2 linked regions of the Alligator mississippiensis genome follow. Each later gene encodes a partner of the first gene's protein in a complex. Links are inferred from orthologs where the notes say so. Each region holds a gene or a part of one and is shown in the gene's direction. Other genes may lie near its edges. The genes, in order: PLXNA2 and SEMA6A.

What was found.
Region 2: the proteins of PLXNA2 (region 1) and SEMA6A are in contact, whole or in part, in a crystal structure (PDB 3AL8), measured with the Mus musculus proteins. The link is inferred for Alligator mississippiensis from reciprocal best matches to the Homo sapiens genes PLXNA2 and SEMA6A. Residues at the interface, in NP_032908.2 of Mus musculus: Ala93, Cys94, Tyr95, Pro96, Lys155, Gln192, Asp193, Tyr194, Asp220, Phe221, Val222, Pro229, Ser230, Asp231, Leu386, Lys389, Val391, Thr394, Lys395, Ala396, Pro397, Val398, Leu407, Asp408, Ile409, Asn410, Gln411; in NP_061214.2 of Mus musculus: Arg108, Met109, Lys110, Gly111, Met162, Ala163, Thr188, Phe190, Leu191, Ile193, Tyr198, Thr206, Arg208, His212, Asp213, Ser214, Glu219, Gln266, Arg267, Glu270, Lys271, Lys393.

What each region holds. Positions count from the first base shown.
Region 1 is NC_081837.1:43,019,748-43,027,577, reverse strand, and holds the start of PLXNA2 (plexin-A2), read left to right. Parts: upstream 1-4,765; 5' UTR 4,766-5,308; intron 5,309-7,830. UniProt on the Homo sapiens protein: Coreceptor for SEMA3A and SEMA6A. Necessary for signaling by SEMA6A and class 3 semaphorins and subsequent remodeling of the cytoskeleton. Plays a role in axon guidance, invasive growth and cell migration.
Region 2 is NC_081826.1:224,334,458-224,341,550, forward strand, and holds the start of SEMA6A (semaphorin-6A), read left to right. Parts: upstream 1-3,934; 5' UTR 3,935-4,490; intron 4,491-7,093. UniProt on the Homo sapiens protein: Cell surface receptor for PLXNA2 that plays an important role in cell-cell signaling. Required for normal granule cell migration in the developing cerebellum.

The sequences.
Region 1 (7,830 bases):
TCTCGGGACCCGTATCGACGCGGGGCCTCGGGGCTGCCATTGCCAGGTGCAGCAGAATGGCATGCCCCAAGGGGGATGCTCTCCGAGGAGGGGAAGGGGCAGCCAAGGGGTTGTGGGGAGCAATAAAGGACTCCACGACTGTCCTGTTTGATTTGTAGCAGGATGAGTCAAGCTTCTGTTTCGAATGCCCCAGGATGTCAGCTTCCCACAAAGCTGTGGGGGGAGACGCCGTCATAAATTACGGCTCCATGGCTCTTTTTATGTGGGTCCTGCCCAGTTTTGTTCCCTACGCAAACAGCTTTCTGTTTCTCAGGGCATCTTTATGTTCTCTGTTCGCTATCATTTGGCCGGTAAATTATCCGGAGTGACTTGCACCAGAATTTTCTGCTGGTGGTTACCACCGTGCTGAGGGCAGCTGGTTGCAAAGTGAGATGTAGTTCCCATGTAGGCACTGGGCACCCATGTCCGCATGGCTGTCGAGCAGGTTGCCATCAGCTCATGGTGCAAGACTGGTGAGAGGGAGGCCATGCTGTGCAGCGCCCTCGGTTTTCCCTTAGTATATGCCTGCAGAACAGACTGCACAAGCAAATATACGTTCACAAAAGAAGTAGATGCACATCTAAACCTGTATGCAGAACACTGGCCCGGCGTGCCCAGAAAGCACGGACACGGACAGCTTGCACACGCAAGCTTCACAACTATGGATCTGTGCATATAACAAAGAGGCAGCAATGCACCAAATGCTCCACAAATGCAAGAAGGAGACATGGAGGCATATTTTCAAAATAAAGTGACAAGATGCCCGAAGCCTAGTACACACATACACAAACACATATGCCTAGGAACAAATATGCCCAGTACTAGCACACAGCAGCACGTGGACAAAACAGAGCCACAGGATGGAGGACACAAATGAGACCTGCATGGAAGACACAAACACCGCATCAAACACTGACATGGCCTAACAAGTACATCCTTGCAAGATGCTGGCATCAGACCCAAATAGGCCACATGCACACACCTCTTGAATGCACGTGCAAGTACATACACACTACGTGTGTGTGTGTGTGTGTGTGTAATATGAGTGTACCACAAACGCGTGTTCTCCTCCTAGTGATAAATACTTATGGTGAAGGCCTGCTGTATGCTTCCAGTTGCAAAAAGGCTTCCTGTAATTTCCAGGTACTACTATTGTCACAGGTCTTGGGCATGGGTTAACACAACTTTAGACAAGGATTTTTACCTATAGTTGGCTTGGGTATGAGGCTGCTGTTGCCTAAATCCTGCATGGCCAGAGAAGTGGCTAGGCAAACACATCATTCATCAGCTCACACTCACTGGCATCAGTACCCCAGGTGAATCCTGGCTGGTGCCTTTTTGCTCTTGTGCACAGCTTGGAAAAGACCCGTGCTCCTCACCTGCATCATATGTGTGACCTCCTCTGCTGCCCTTTTGGGCTGCTCCCCTAGCTCAGCAATCCTGTAATTAGCCAGAGAGAGACTCTCCATCTTGACAACAATTGGCCATCAATAAATAATAACCAGAATGCAGGATGCCGACAGTCCAGCCAAGAGGAGAGAGCAATTAAGATGCTCCGACCCGCCTTGTACGACTTCCCACGAAAAGAGAAATTGCATTAGTGGGACGTGCGTTTAGCCAAGGCTGGTATTTGTAATGGGATTTAGTGGCATTTGCTGTGAATGCAAGACGCAGCAAATGTAGCGGGGGCAGAATAATGAAAGAGCAGAGCTCGCTGTGTGCATGGAGCAGCCTCGTGTCCCTGTCCCAAGCTGAATAGCTGCGTTGTAGATAGCCTTTCCAGGTGCCGAAATATCCCCAGTCTCAGACTCAATCTAGCTATGAGTGAAGCAGTTGAGGGGAAGAGGAGCGAGGCCTGAGCTGGGCCAGTGCCTCATGCTGGAAAATTGTAGGGAACATGTTTAAACAAGGAAATCCTTTCCTGAGCGACAGGGAACATCTCCTCTTAGAGAGGTGTATTCACTGCCTACAGGGTGGCTTTCTCCCTGGGGAGACTATTGATTTCTTGTCTGTTGTAGTCCCCTCGAGGGGAGAAATACCTTTAAACTACCTGTGAGCAATAGGAATGAGCTCATGGGCTTAATTTATCTCCTTTCTACCCTTCTCAAACATGCACTCCTGCAAAGGGAAAAAGCAGCCGGGACCAAAGAGGGCAAGCAGCAACCTGCTGAGCACCTGCCTAGTGTGCTGCCAAGGGAAAGGACCTTTCCGGTGCATCGCTGAGTCTCTCCTCCTCGAGAGGCTTGGAGACTTCAGGGAAGAGATATTTATTTCCTTCCCCCAAATGGTTTTAGTTAGCTGCAGGCATGTGAGCTGTGGGCAGGGGACAGCTGGGGAGCCTCCTCAGTAGAGTTAATCTCTTCCCCTGACTATTCCTGCATACCCGGTGAGCGGTGTGCCGTGATTAAGGGCTGTAGGTGTGTTAGTTTAGGGACAAGATGCCTTGATTAAAGCTTTTGCTGGAGAGGTTGGGAAGTAAAGACTGGAATCTCCTGTCCAGGGACAGTCAGGATCTTACTTCTCCATTGCTCCTGAAGAAGCTGTGCTGCTTTGGAGTGCACGTCTGTGTGGCTACAGCTTTTAGAGCCAGCTAGTCATGTGAGCCTGCCTCTGCTATATCCAAAGCAGCTTTCAGCACCTGCACCCACTTCAGGGTAGAGGAGCATTGTTCAGGAGCTCCATATGGAAGAATGGAGAAGCCACATAAGCAGCGGTGTGGTCTGTCTGCTATCTCCTCAGGGCAGCCGAGTTGATTGCAAGTCTCAGCTGTTCCCGTACGTATGGTTCCCTCTTTATTTTATAATTTGTTTTGCAGCTCCTCTGAGCCTCTCTGGGGATGGGAACATTATCTGAATCAGATGACCTGGCTTTATTTAAAGCATGTCAGTCTCTAGAGTGGCTTGCTGTTTTAAATATTACCCCACTTGTGCTCTCTTGCGTGTCCCAGAGACATACCCCAACATAACACGGTGTAACCACAAGGCTTCAAAGCCCTTTTGGCAACCAGCAACTCGCTGACATATCACCACTTGGCTAGAGCCCCTTCTTCAGCTGGTCTGATGGGGGGCAGGATCTTCTGCTTCTACAGTCTGGTCCTCTGACGTGTATGCTGTGGTGCGCCTGAAGTTTTTAGGTGGGAATCCCAGTTGCTCATCCACTCTGAAAGTGTTGCATCAGGTGCACGGTTTGGGTTGGGACGGTCTGCGATCGGCTCCTAGTCCTCTGACCTGTTGAGTTGGATGTGGATGGTAGACCCTGGGCTGCTTGCAGTCTGTGTTTACTCTTCCCAGTAGGAATCTGGACTTGCACGTTGCCTTGTGGCGCAAGGGTCCGAACCCAATCCAGTTGCATCTGGACTTGCACGTTGCCTTGTGGCGCAAGGGTCTGAACCCAATCCAGTTGCAACTGGACTTGCACGTTGCCTTGTGGCGCAAGGGTCTGAACCCAATCCAGTTGCTTCTCAAGTCAGACCTGTGAAGTGGAATTTCCCAAGCACAATCATTAGGTGTAGTCATCCCCTTTAATTCATCCAGGAGCGTACAAGGTGCAGAAACCACCCCCCAGGGGCTCTGAACCAGTGCCCTGAGACAGGAGCACAACCCAGGTACTGGGAATGCAAATGCTGCATAAAACTCCTTTCCCTCTTGCTGCGCTGAGGGAGAAAAGGTGTAGCAAGGAGCCGGGGTTGTGACTTGTCCAGGTTCACATAGGAAGCGGGTGGCAGCAGCTGAGACGAGAACCCAGGTGGCCCGATTCAGATCCCTTGCATGACGGCTGCAGCACAGGCCTGTATTTCTTCACTCCTGTTGTGCAATGCAACATGCACGTGTGTAACTAGGAGGTGCTGGATGGCTCAGAGGGTGAGTAATGGGTTGTGGAGCCTTTCTCAGCATTTCAAATCCAACCCATGTGGGTAGTAACCAGATGACTAGCTAGTAGCCAGGTCAGGAAATGGATGCCCTAACACGGGAGCTGCCTTAAAACTGCAACGGTTCCTACTGAAGACCCTGGGGGTCTTCAAGAGGACCCCCAGGGTCCCCTTGACCCTGTAGCTCATTAACATACAAGACCTCCTGGGGGTCTTCAAGAGGAGGTTGGATATGCATCTAGCTGGGGTCATCTAGACCCAGCACTCTTTCCTGCCTATGCAGGGGGTCAGACTCGATGATCTATTGAGGTCCCTTCCTACCCTAACACCTATGAATCTATTTTTCACTGAGTTTGTATTTCTGTCCATGTGTCCGCATGCATATAAAATAAAAGGCAAAAGCAATGTCGGGTGCATAGAGGATCCCTGTCGGGGAAGCCTCCCAAAGCCTGGTGAGGGGCAGCAGGGAGCAGGTAGGCAGGGGTGTGGTGGCGGTATCCCCACCTTTCCATTTCTCTTTGCAAACCAGGCTGAGTGGGCAGCACCCATGTGTCAGCCCCCATTTCCCAGCCCTGCCTCTGAATCCTTGTGCTTTGCTGGAGTTTTACCTTTAAGGTAGTTTGCGGGTGGCTGGTCCGGCTCAGCAGGTTCTTGGGGAACAAGTGTCAATGGAGGTCTCTAGCTTGCACCTGCATCCCTTGAGCCGCTTTCCTTGCACGTCACCGGAGAGAGAAATGCAAGGGTCCAGCATTGGGCACTGGCGAAGGCCTGCGGTTTGGAGCTGGCGGCTGCGGAAGAGTTAACCCCCAGTGACTGTATGTTAATGAGCTACATGGTAATACAGGGAGGCAGGCTTTAGCAGTCAGACTGCTGCTGATGGGGGGATGAGCTTCCAGTGCCAGCCTAGAGCCGGGAGAAGGAGTGCACAGTTACTGTGAAATTCAGCTGGTAGAAAGAGAGAGCGAGGGAGAGACACAGAGAGAGAGAGGAAAAAACAGATCTGTGAAGGAAATGGGACTGTAAAAAAAAAAAAAAATTAAAAAAAAATTAAAATTAAAAAAAAGCAAAGGAAGCCCGGGATGGCTGATGTCAGGGAGGGTAGGGGAGAAGTCTAGGTGGGCGAATCCTAGCAATAAGGACCCTTAAAAAGAATAAGAATAATTGGCTAGCCAGCCGCACAGGGGCTTCAGAGGAATGACTGACTGACTGCCTGGAGGAGCCGTTCCAAGGAAGAGCAGAGAGACTTTAGGAATACAGATAAGTAGCTGGTGACTTGCGGTGGATTTCAATGAATTCAGGGTCGGACTGGATTACCTCTCCGTAAATCCAAGGAGGTGGAGGGGTGGGGGGAGAAAGCAGAGAGCCCCCAAGGAGACAGACGGAAGAGGATCTTTAGGTCTGGTAAGTAAGCCACCCAGCCGGGGTGGGCAAAGGCGGGGGTGCCTCCAGCCAGCACCTGCCCCCTCTTATTCTGCATGAAGGGAGCCCCCAAATATCCTTTCCCAGCGCCGCGGCTTTGGCGCTCTCCCCCCTGCCAAAGGGGGAGTCTCGCCAGGTGCCCTCGGGGAAAGACCCCCACCACGTCCTTGGGGATGGGCTTTGGGGGGTGCATGCATGCATCCAGGTTGTTTTCTGGCTGAGGCTGGAAGCTGTAGGAGCATGTTTGTCTTCACTTGGAAGTGGCTGGATTTGGGAGCATCATCCTGAGGGGTTTCCTAATTTGCTAGCTAAATCTCAACCGATAATGCAAGTCCCGTGAGGCTCCCCTCTGTCTGTCCCCCTCCCCACCCTTCCCAATCCAGTTTGGGCATCCTGTTATTTTGTCCCCTTAGTGTAGTTCTGCTGTCAATATGTTTTATTCCTTCCTAAATCCAAGTGACTGCATTCCCTACCATTCAGTCCTGGACTGGGGAAAGGCAGTGCGTCATAAGGGAACAAAACCCCTCAAAAGTTGCCACTGGCCAGGAGAGACTTTTGTTTTGCCAGCACTCAGGATTCCTGGAAAAAATAATATCCCTACTGTGAAGGTCCCAGATCCTGCAAGATCCCTTTCCAGAAGCTGGGAAAGGGAAGGGGGGATCTGTGCATGCTTTTCTGAAAAAATTCCTAGGTCCCAGGGACTGTTTCCAGCCTCATCAAACCCTAAAGTTGCTTGGATGCTACATGCGTGTCGATCATAACAGCGGCTTGTCTATACGTACAGTGAGGGGCCGCACTGTCCTCTCTTCATCCGGCCCCCGGTTTCACCTGGTATAGTCAAACACCAGCCTTTTCTCTGTGCAAGCTGTGCCAGTACTTCATGGTCTTGAAGGCAGGATGTATGATGTTCATTGAATCACTGTTTTAAGCAGCATCTGAAAGTCAGTAGGTTAACGTTAAGGGAAAGCAGGGGGGTTAAGGAGCGATAGAGGGGGAAAAAATCATGCCTCCGTGATCTGTGTTCAGGATACTGGCTCAGCAGCAAGCAAGGATGCAATGTTCGTAGGGTACCGTGCTATGCAATCCTGTTTCTAGGAGGGTTTCCTCCTCGTTACTTGTCTACCACTTGACATTTCACTAGTAGGATGAATCTGTTTGATGGACCCTGACTGAGTTTTGGGAGGCAGGCTGTCTGCTTTCATGTGCCGGACGGCCTCGGTGATATCAATATCTCTAAAAGTTCAGTCAAATGACCTACTTCCACCGCAGAATGACTGATGCCTTTGTGCCCTCTTCAGAATTGATGCTTATATTTTCCCAATGTGGAGATATTTGCCTTGGTTAAAAAAATAAAATAAAAAGTGTGTCCTATGTTGCTGCCTTTTGCCAGATGCTCTTTCAGTCTCGGCTTATAAACCATAAGGCCTTAAATACAATAGTTAGGAGTGCTTCTAGGATCTGAGCAGAGTCACCTTGACTTTGGAAGCACGGTCCAGCCCAAGAGTCACTTGTATGTCTGGTTTCTCTTGTAAAATGGCTCGTGCAAGCAAACGCAGACACCTTGCTCTTCTCTCCTCTGCCGTGCTCGTTGCAGGAAGATGAAGCAACCCAATTTACTCTTCATTGCCTTTATAGCTGTATTTGATCTAATTATTTGCAGAGTTTCCCCCTGGCTTATAACAAGTTTGTGCAGTGGAGACAGGTAACAGATGCGTTTGCGAACCCACGGATCTGATAGAAATAGCGGCTCCCAGTGCTTTCCTTGCACTCTGTTTTGCTCTCCCAGTTAACCCTGAGCTGTCCCTGGCCCCTCAGCTGTTGAATGAAACTGAACTTTCTGAAATACAGCTAGATATTAAAACCCCTAAAGACCCCAAGCACTCTCCACCTGGGTATATGATGCTGAAGAAAGGATGACTCCTCCTGCCCTGTGCTCTTTAACTCTCTTCAGCAAATTGCATTAGGACGTGACAAATTGGCTTGCAAAGCAGCTAAATGGAAATGACATTTGGAGCAGTTCGTGGTGTAGACGCTGTGGTGTCTCGACTTGCAGGATCTGCCTGAAGTCTCCCGTTGACTGTCTCCCAAGAGCTTTAGTGCTTTGGGGATATCCAGAGCTGGCTCTGGAAACTTTTTTGATGCAGTTTGAGCCTGGAGCCTTGGATGTGTCTCCTGGGATTGATCCAATGTCTGGGGAAGGTTTCAGCATTGATACGCTCATGCAAGAGCTGAGCCAGCAGGCTGCGTAAGTCATGGTTAGAAGTGGAAGACGATGCCTAGATGCTGCATGGTGCGTGCGGATGGGCGATTCAAGAGGAGATGCCATACCTGCTTCTTGGTACTGGCACAATACGCTCTAAATTTGCTTTGTAGAGGTATCTTTGTTCAGCCAGGATGGGTTAAGCAATGCTCACCCACTCTTTCCCATGCACTTGCACGCATTGGTTCAAACCCTGCCCTCATCAAGCGCTTTTAATTGGCCCCTCAATGGCTAGAACAAGAAC
Region 2 (7,093 bases), on another chromosome or scaffold:
TCCACACAACTGAAGATTGCAAACGTGCAGGACTATTTAAAAAAAATCACAGATCTACTTAATCACTGTTCTATCTTAATCTGTTCCAGTATTTTTTTAATTTCCCAAACAATAATTTGATATAAAAAGTGAATGGGACTAAGGAACCAATGTAGTACAGTGGAATGATTGTTGAACAGAAGGAACAACACAAAGCTGTGAAGCTATTCATGTAGCAGAGATACAGTAAATGTACTGTTAGGAAACACTTGCACACTAGTTCAATCAAGAGGGGGGAGATGGTCTCACATTGTCCTAAATGAATTCAGGTTATAGTTTAGCACCTTCCCAGGACTTTAAAGGTTATGTTTTATACCCAGAATTAAGATCATTGAGAAGCCTCCATGTGCTGCACTGAATTGCACTTCATTCACTGTAAAGGGAATTTATGGTGGTTTGAATCCCTCCCTTATTCCAAGTGGTGCTTTGTTTCATACTGGAAACCTAAAGTGGTGGGAGTGGGAGCTTTGAACCTCCATCCTGAGTGAGTTTCAGATTTTCATCGTGGACACCCCAGGTGTTTCAGCTGTAGCAGTCACAAGGAGTAGGCTTTTCTGGGAGGGTTTGGGGTTTTTTTATGCATTCTTCCCCTCCATCCCTCTCTCCCCTCCCCACCTTCTTCCCTGCCTCTCCCTCTCCTGCTGCCCTGAACAAATCCAAAATATGCAAGGGAGCGGATTTACACGTGGCTCCGACCACACTTCCATTTCATTCTCGAAATCCAAGCCGGTTTCAGTGATAGCTATTGAACTGGATGGGATTTGGGGGGAAAAAATCAGAGGCGGGCACTCCCTTGTCTTCACCTCTGTCTTTCTTTAGGGATCAGCTGTTTTAAAAAGGGAAAGAAATGCAAAGCGACGCCTCGCTGCTCGGCTTGTAGCTCGTCGGAAATCGTCTCTCTCCCATCTTCGCCCCCCTGCAAAATAAACCCCCCAAAGATGAAGACAAAAGCAGCATGCCCAGGCCAACCCCACCCAGCCTTCTCCAGCCCCGCAACGTGCAGCACATGCCAAATAGATCCATTACAGCAAACAAGACAGCTTAATTGTTTGTTTCTCCCCGGGAAGGAGCTAAACCCGGAATTAATTTGGTTCAGCCGGTGAAACAACGCGTTTGCTCTGCCTCATTCTGGCAATTAAAGAAGTTTTTGGGGTTCTTTTTTTTTCCCCAGACACAATTAACATGTAAATCAGCGGCGCTAAGGCTGCTGCCGCCTCTGCTCCTACTGGAGAAATGCAAGAGGCAGGAGCCAGGCTGCACTACCTGTCTCGGCGGAGGCGCTGGTGCGGCTGCCGAGGGAGGCGCGAGGATTAGGAGAGGCAGCGGCAGCGGCAGAGCTCCTGGCCGAGGGGGTTGGGAAGCAGAAGGATTAATTTATTAGCGCTGCTCCTGTCCCTCTCGGGGCTGCTTGGCTCGGAGACAGGGGCGGATTAGCCCTGCAGGCAGCTATCAAACTGGGATGGGGGGGAAGGAAACAAAACAAAACAGAAAAGGCAGGCTGAGAGCTAATCGGCCGCGGAGGAGCAGCCGGCCCTCCCCGATGGCTGCGCTCTGCTTAGGCGCGGTAGCGGGCGAACGCGGGTCTGACGTCGCCCCGCAAAGCGCTTTGTTTTGCCGCGCCAATTGGCCGCAGACAGACGCGCGGGGGTGGGTAGGTAGGTAGGAAGGAAGGTAGGTCCGCGCAGCTCCCGCAGGCAGGCCGGGAGGGGGGAAGGCGCGCGCGCTGGGTGGCCCCGACCCCGGGGCAGCTGAAGTCAGCGGGAGTTTCGCCTTTGCCTTCTGCGGGAGCGGGCGCCAACTTCGCAAGTTTCATCAATTCTTGCATTGTTTGCCAAGGAAATTGGGGCAGCGGCCCCTTCTGGCCCGCGGGGCAAACAGCGAGAGAGAGCCGAGCCGGCTTTTCTCCACCCCTCCACCCGGAGGAGCAAAGCTGCTAAGCCGGAGACGGTGCGCGTGCATGTTATTATTATTAATATCATCGTATGCAGATGCACAGTACTCGCAGCACACGCCTGTGCTCTCTGGGCGCCGCCGAGGCACTTGGCTTTCCGAGGGACCAATTTAGACCACCTGAGAGGCTGCAGCTTTGCTTTTATCGTCATCAGACAGTTTGTTCATTGTTATCTTCGGAGCTTTAACCCCCCTCCCCGATCTGCGATACACAAGTGTCTCTTCCTGCTCTTTCGCAGCCTCTCTCCCCTTTGCTGTCTATCCTCGCCCTGTTTCAAAGGGAGCGTTGCTACTTTTCGAGGCGCACTGGGGTGGATCCGGAGCGATGGCCATGGTGTAACGTTGCACTTGCCAGCCTTTCGGTACTGCGGGTTGCATCAGTGTGAGCCTGATGTAGTCATAAGGATCCACAGGGGGAATAGGAATAAGAATATGCCTTGGGGAGGGGAAGGAGTAAGGACTTGTTGGCCTTGGGCAAGTTTGCTTGGAAAGTATTTTTAACAGAGAGGAGGGCGGTGCCTTGGCATCTGGAGGTTCCTAAGAATGGGCTGTTTCTTCCCTCGCCGTGCACCTGTTCCGAACAAACCACACAGCTAAGCCCGTGAGCCCGCTGGGATCCTGCTGATTTATTTTTATTGGCACCCAATTCATTGCCCGGCAAGAGCGTTTAAATACCAAATCTCTTAGGGCAGATGAATGCAACACTGCCAAACGTGCCGGGCAGGCTCCCTCCCGCAGCAGGGCGGCTGGTGTCTGGCTCCCGAGGCCAGCAGATCTGTGCTCCTCTGCCGCCTGCTAGTGCAAGAAGCCTCCCCCCGCGCTCACACACGTACCTGGCGGGCACCTCGCGGGATGCTCGTCCCTGCCCGAGGGCTGGAGCCCTGCAACGGTTCCTCGGCATTAGAAAAGTCTTCACAGTTCACTTCCCCTCATCCTTTAAAACTTTTCCATTTAAGAAAATCGATGAGCAAATCCTTCCTTGCATCTCATCTCCCGGAGTGCTCCTGCCTCGCCTCTCTTTTTCCCCTGATACCTATACCTATACCAGTATCTATCTATAATACATCTCTATATCTCTATAGATATCTATATATTTATAATATATCTATAATACATCTCTGTCTATAGATAACTATCTATATATATCTATCTGTAATATCTCTCTCTCTATAGATATCTATCTATAATACATCTCTCTAGCTCTATAGATATCTATCTATATAGCTATATCTATGTAGAATACATCTCTATCGATATCAATAGGTATCTATATATCTATATATTGTATAATAAATCTACCTATCTATAGATATGTATATAATACATCTATCTATAGCTATATATAATGCATCCATTTATCTATCTATATATAATACATCTATCTATAGCTATATATAATACATCTATTTATCTATAGATATAATACATCTATCTATAGCTATCTATGTATAATACATCTATCTAGCTATAGATATCTATGTACCTATATATAATACATCTATCTATAGATATCTATAGCTATCTATTTATAGATATCTATATCAACATGTATTTATCTATAGAAATCTATACGTATATATATCTATAGAGATCGAGATCTCTATCTGTGTAAGTCAAGGATCAAGCCAGACTTCTCTCGTCCTTGTTTCAGTCCCGATTGCATACACGTTGCATGGCACAAGGTTGGGGGGGGAGGGATAAGGCAGGTCGCGCACTATCCCCCCGGCTCACCACTTCTCTTATCTCCTTGCCCGCACGTGTCGGGCCCGGGGGCGGGGGGCAGTCGGCTGTCGGCCCCCCGCCCCCCAGCCCGCACTCCTAGTCCCGCGCGCACGCAGGGCCGGGCCTTGCTGCGTGTAGCCGGCGGGGAGTGGGGAAGGCGGCGGTGCGGTGATGCCGCGATCCAGTCCGGGATTTGGCTCCGCCCCGCCGCCGAGCAGCCTTCCAGTGACAGCGGAGTTGGGAGCCCGGCAGTGAGGAGGGAGGCAGGCACCAGGCGAGAGCTTTGCTCCCAAGTCCTCTCCCGAGCCCAGCTCAATGACCAGCAGCTCTGGGGCGAGGAGCAACTGCGCTTCCCACAACTTTCCCTGGAGCAGCCTCCAGCATCGTGGCAGCCTGACATGACTTGCCTCCTAGGGCGCGACTGAGGGGGACTTACCGGAGTGGAAGCCTGGTGGAATTTGGGTTTGCAGAGGAGTTGCCGAACCTTTTTTATTATTATTATTACAATTATTATTGCTTTTTTTTTTCTCCCCCCGCCCCCTGGAAATGAGCACGCTGCCTCGGCGCTGCAGAAAGTAGGCAGCTCGGACTGTGGCAGCCCTGTGCCCCCGCCCCGTGCCTTGCCCCGAGGAGCCCCCATGTAGGAATGACAAAGGATTGCACCGGCGAGCGCGGCTGCGGTGTCCCCCGAGCGGTCCCCGGGCATGGATTACTAAATGGGACACTCCCGCAGCTAGGTCTGTCCTCGGGCTGCCGCTAGATACATGCGCCGGGAAAAGGTACTGTACCGCCCCGGGCGCGGCTGCGGGAGGGCCGGGGCGGCGGGACGGAGGCTGGGGGCGCCCTGCCCTGCCTGCCTGCCGGCTGCCGCGGATGGGCGGGGAGCGGCTTTGTTGCACGCGCGGGGACAATGTGGGAGCCTCGCCCCTGCCGCTGCGGTGGGCTCGGGGTGCATCGGGGCACCGCGGAAACTTCTGCCGGGAGAGAGACCCCTTCCCCCCTTCCTCCGCCGCAGCCGCCGCCGCCTTGTCTCCGCGCGGTGCCTTTGTTTGCGGGGCCGCTGCCTCCCCGCCCCGCGGGCCCCGAGGGCGCCTCCCCTACCCGGGGGGGGGTGTGCGTGTGTGTGTGCGGGGGGGGGGGTGTGCATGTGCCCCTGCCCGGGTGCTGCCCCTGACCCCTGCTCCCCGCGCTGTCAGCCCCCGGGGGGGAGGGCTGCTGCTCCCTCAGTACAGGGGCAGCTGGGTCCTGTCAGGGGCGGAGAGGGGAGGATTCTCCTCTGCCCCCTCGCCAGGGCCTGGGGGCAGCCCAGGGCCGCTCCCCTGGGGGGAAAAAAAGCACCGCTTGGAATAAGGGAGGGATTCAAACCACCGTGAATTCGCTTTACAGTGAATGAAGTACAATTTAAAAAAGCCAAGTTTGTCCAAAGGGGGTGGGGGCCAGGGAGGGCGGCCACAATGCGGCGTCTGCCTGCTGCTCCCTCCCAGCGCCGCCTGCCCGGGTGCGGGGGGGAGGGGGGCACCGAAGCCCTGGGGGTGCGGGCCGGGACACGCGCACACACACACACTTAATATCCACACACACAATACTCACGCGCTTACTTAATATTCACACACAACATTCGCACGTAATATTCACACACACACTTCATATCCACGCACACAATACACACTTCATAGATTCACACACACCTCATATCCACATACACAGTGCTCACACCCTTACTTAATATTCACACACAATAAAGTAACTTAATATTCACGCACACTTCATATCCACACGCAGCACTCACACGCTTAATGGATGCATACGCGCGCACACAATATTCACACACGCTTCACATCCACACTCTCAGATGCACAATATTCACACTTAATATACACAGACACTCGCACACTTCATATCCACACACGCACACTTAATATCAACATGCACACTCATACATACACACACAATACCACCCCCCCCGGCTGGCTGGCGGGTGCTCCGTGCTGGGCCGGGGGGATACTGCTGACAGGAGGGATTCGCGGTGCAGGAGCGTGAAAACCTCTCAGTTGAGAGTAATGGGCATTAAGTGCTCTGCCTGCGAATTTGCATGAGCCAAAGTGGGAGCCTGCAAATCCCCAGGAGTTGCTTTTCCTGCCGTGCTGGTGCACCGGAGAAGTGGAGCAGAACGGAGACAACCCCCCCCCCCCCCCCGGGAGGTTGGGGAGGAGGGAGGGAGCTGGTGGCTCCTTCAAGCAATTACCAGGAGCAGATGCAGCAGCCTGGGCGAGAGGGGCTGGGTGACTCCGGGGCCAGTGAATCCATTTTGGGCGTTCTAGCAACACCGGGAGGTGTTGCTAGAAGTTTGCTCTGCGCTGCGAACAAGTACCTGCCGTGGGTGCCGGGGATCGGTGCGTGTGAAAGCCTGTTTTCTCCCCCTGCCTCTTTGCTCCTCAGTCGCTTTTATTTGCTTGAGAGGGGACCGGAAAGCTAGTGATGGTGACTGACTTGCAGAGGAAGGGTGCAAATCGCAGCTTTCCCTGCCCTGAACCTGGGCAACTTTCACAGACTGTAGGGTTTTTATTGTGCTTGAGCCAGAGCCCCAGGATCTCCCACCAGTGGTTAGTCGCAGTATAGTACATGACTAGGTTTTCTTCCATGTCTGTTCATGTCAATCTTTGAGGGCTGGTTTGAAGGCAATTTGTCCCTCTCCCCCCCTTTCCTAAGATTTGTCCCTCTCTCCCCCCTTTCCTAAGATTTGTCTCTCTCTCCCCTCTTTCCTAAGATCAGTGCTGGTTTTTAAGTTTGCCAACCTACATAGTTGTGTTATGCAGGTCAGGCTGCTATACACAGTGTTTATACAGGTCAGGATACCTAATAAACCAATCCAGTCTATTACAAAAGCAGAAATAGTGAAGTCAATTAACTAGGCAAATCCTAATTAGAGGGGGGGAGGGGCTGGTCTGTTAAGCGCAAATGTGGTGGCACATACCACAATAGCATAACATGGAAGTTGAATCATCCCAAAGCCTCTCTGCTTTTCATTTAGTAGCTTATTATTTGAAACACACTCTGAAAACTTCTGCTTAATATCATCCAGCACTAATAGTAATTATTAACCCAACTTTAAATATAGAGCACAATTGTGTCTTCAGCTATTACCTTATGTTCGTAAAAATAACTTTGGTGAGTGTTTGAGTTCTGTTAACACGCATGTATTTACTTTGGGCCTGATCCTGCCATCCTGACTCACTGGAGTAATACAGGAGTAAATCTGCTCACAGCACTAGAACGCCTTCTGTGATGAGTTTACTCACCTAAAAAAAGTCTTGCAGGGTCAGACGCTTTTCCCACACAACTTTTACGGAGATCTGGAGCAGACTCTGATATCTTTCCAAGA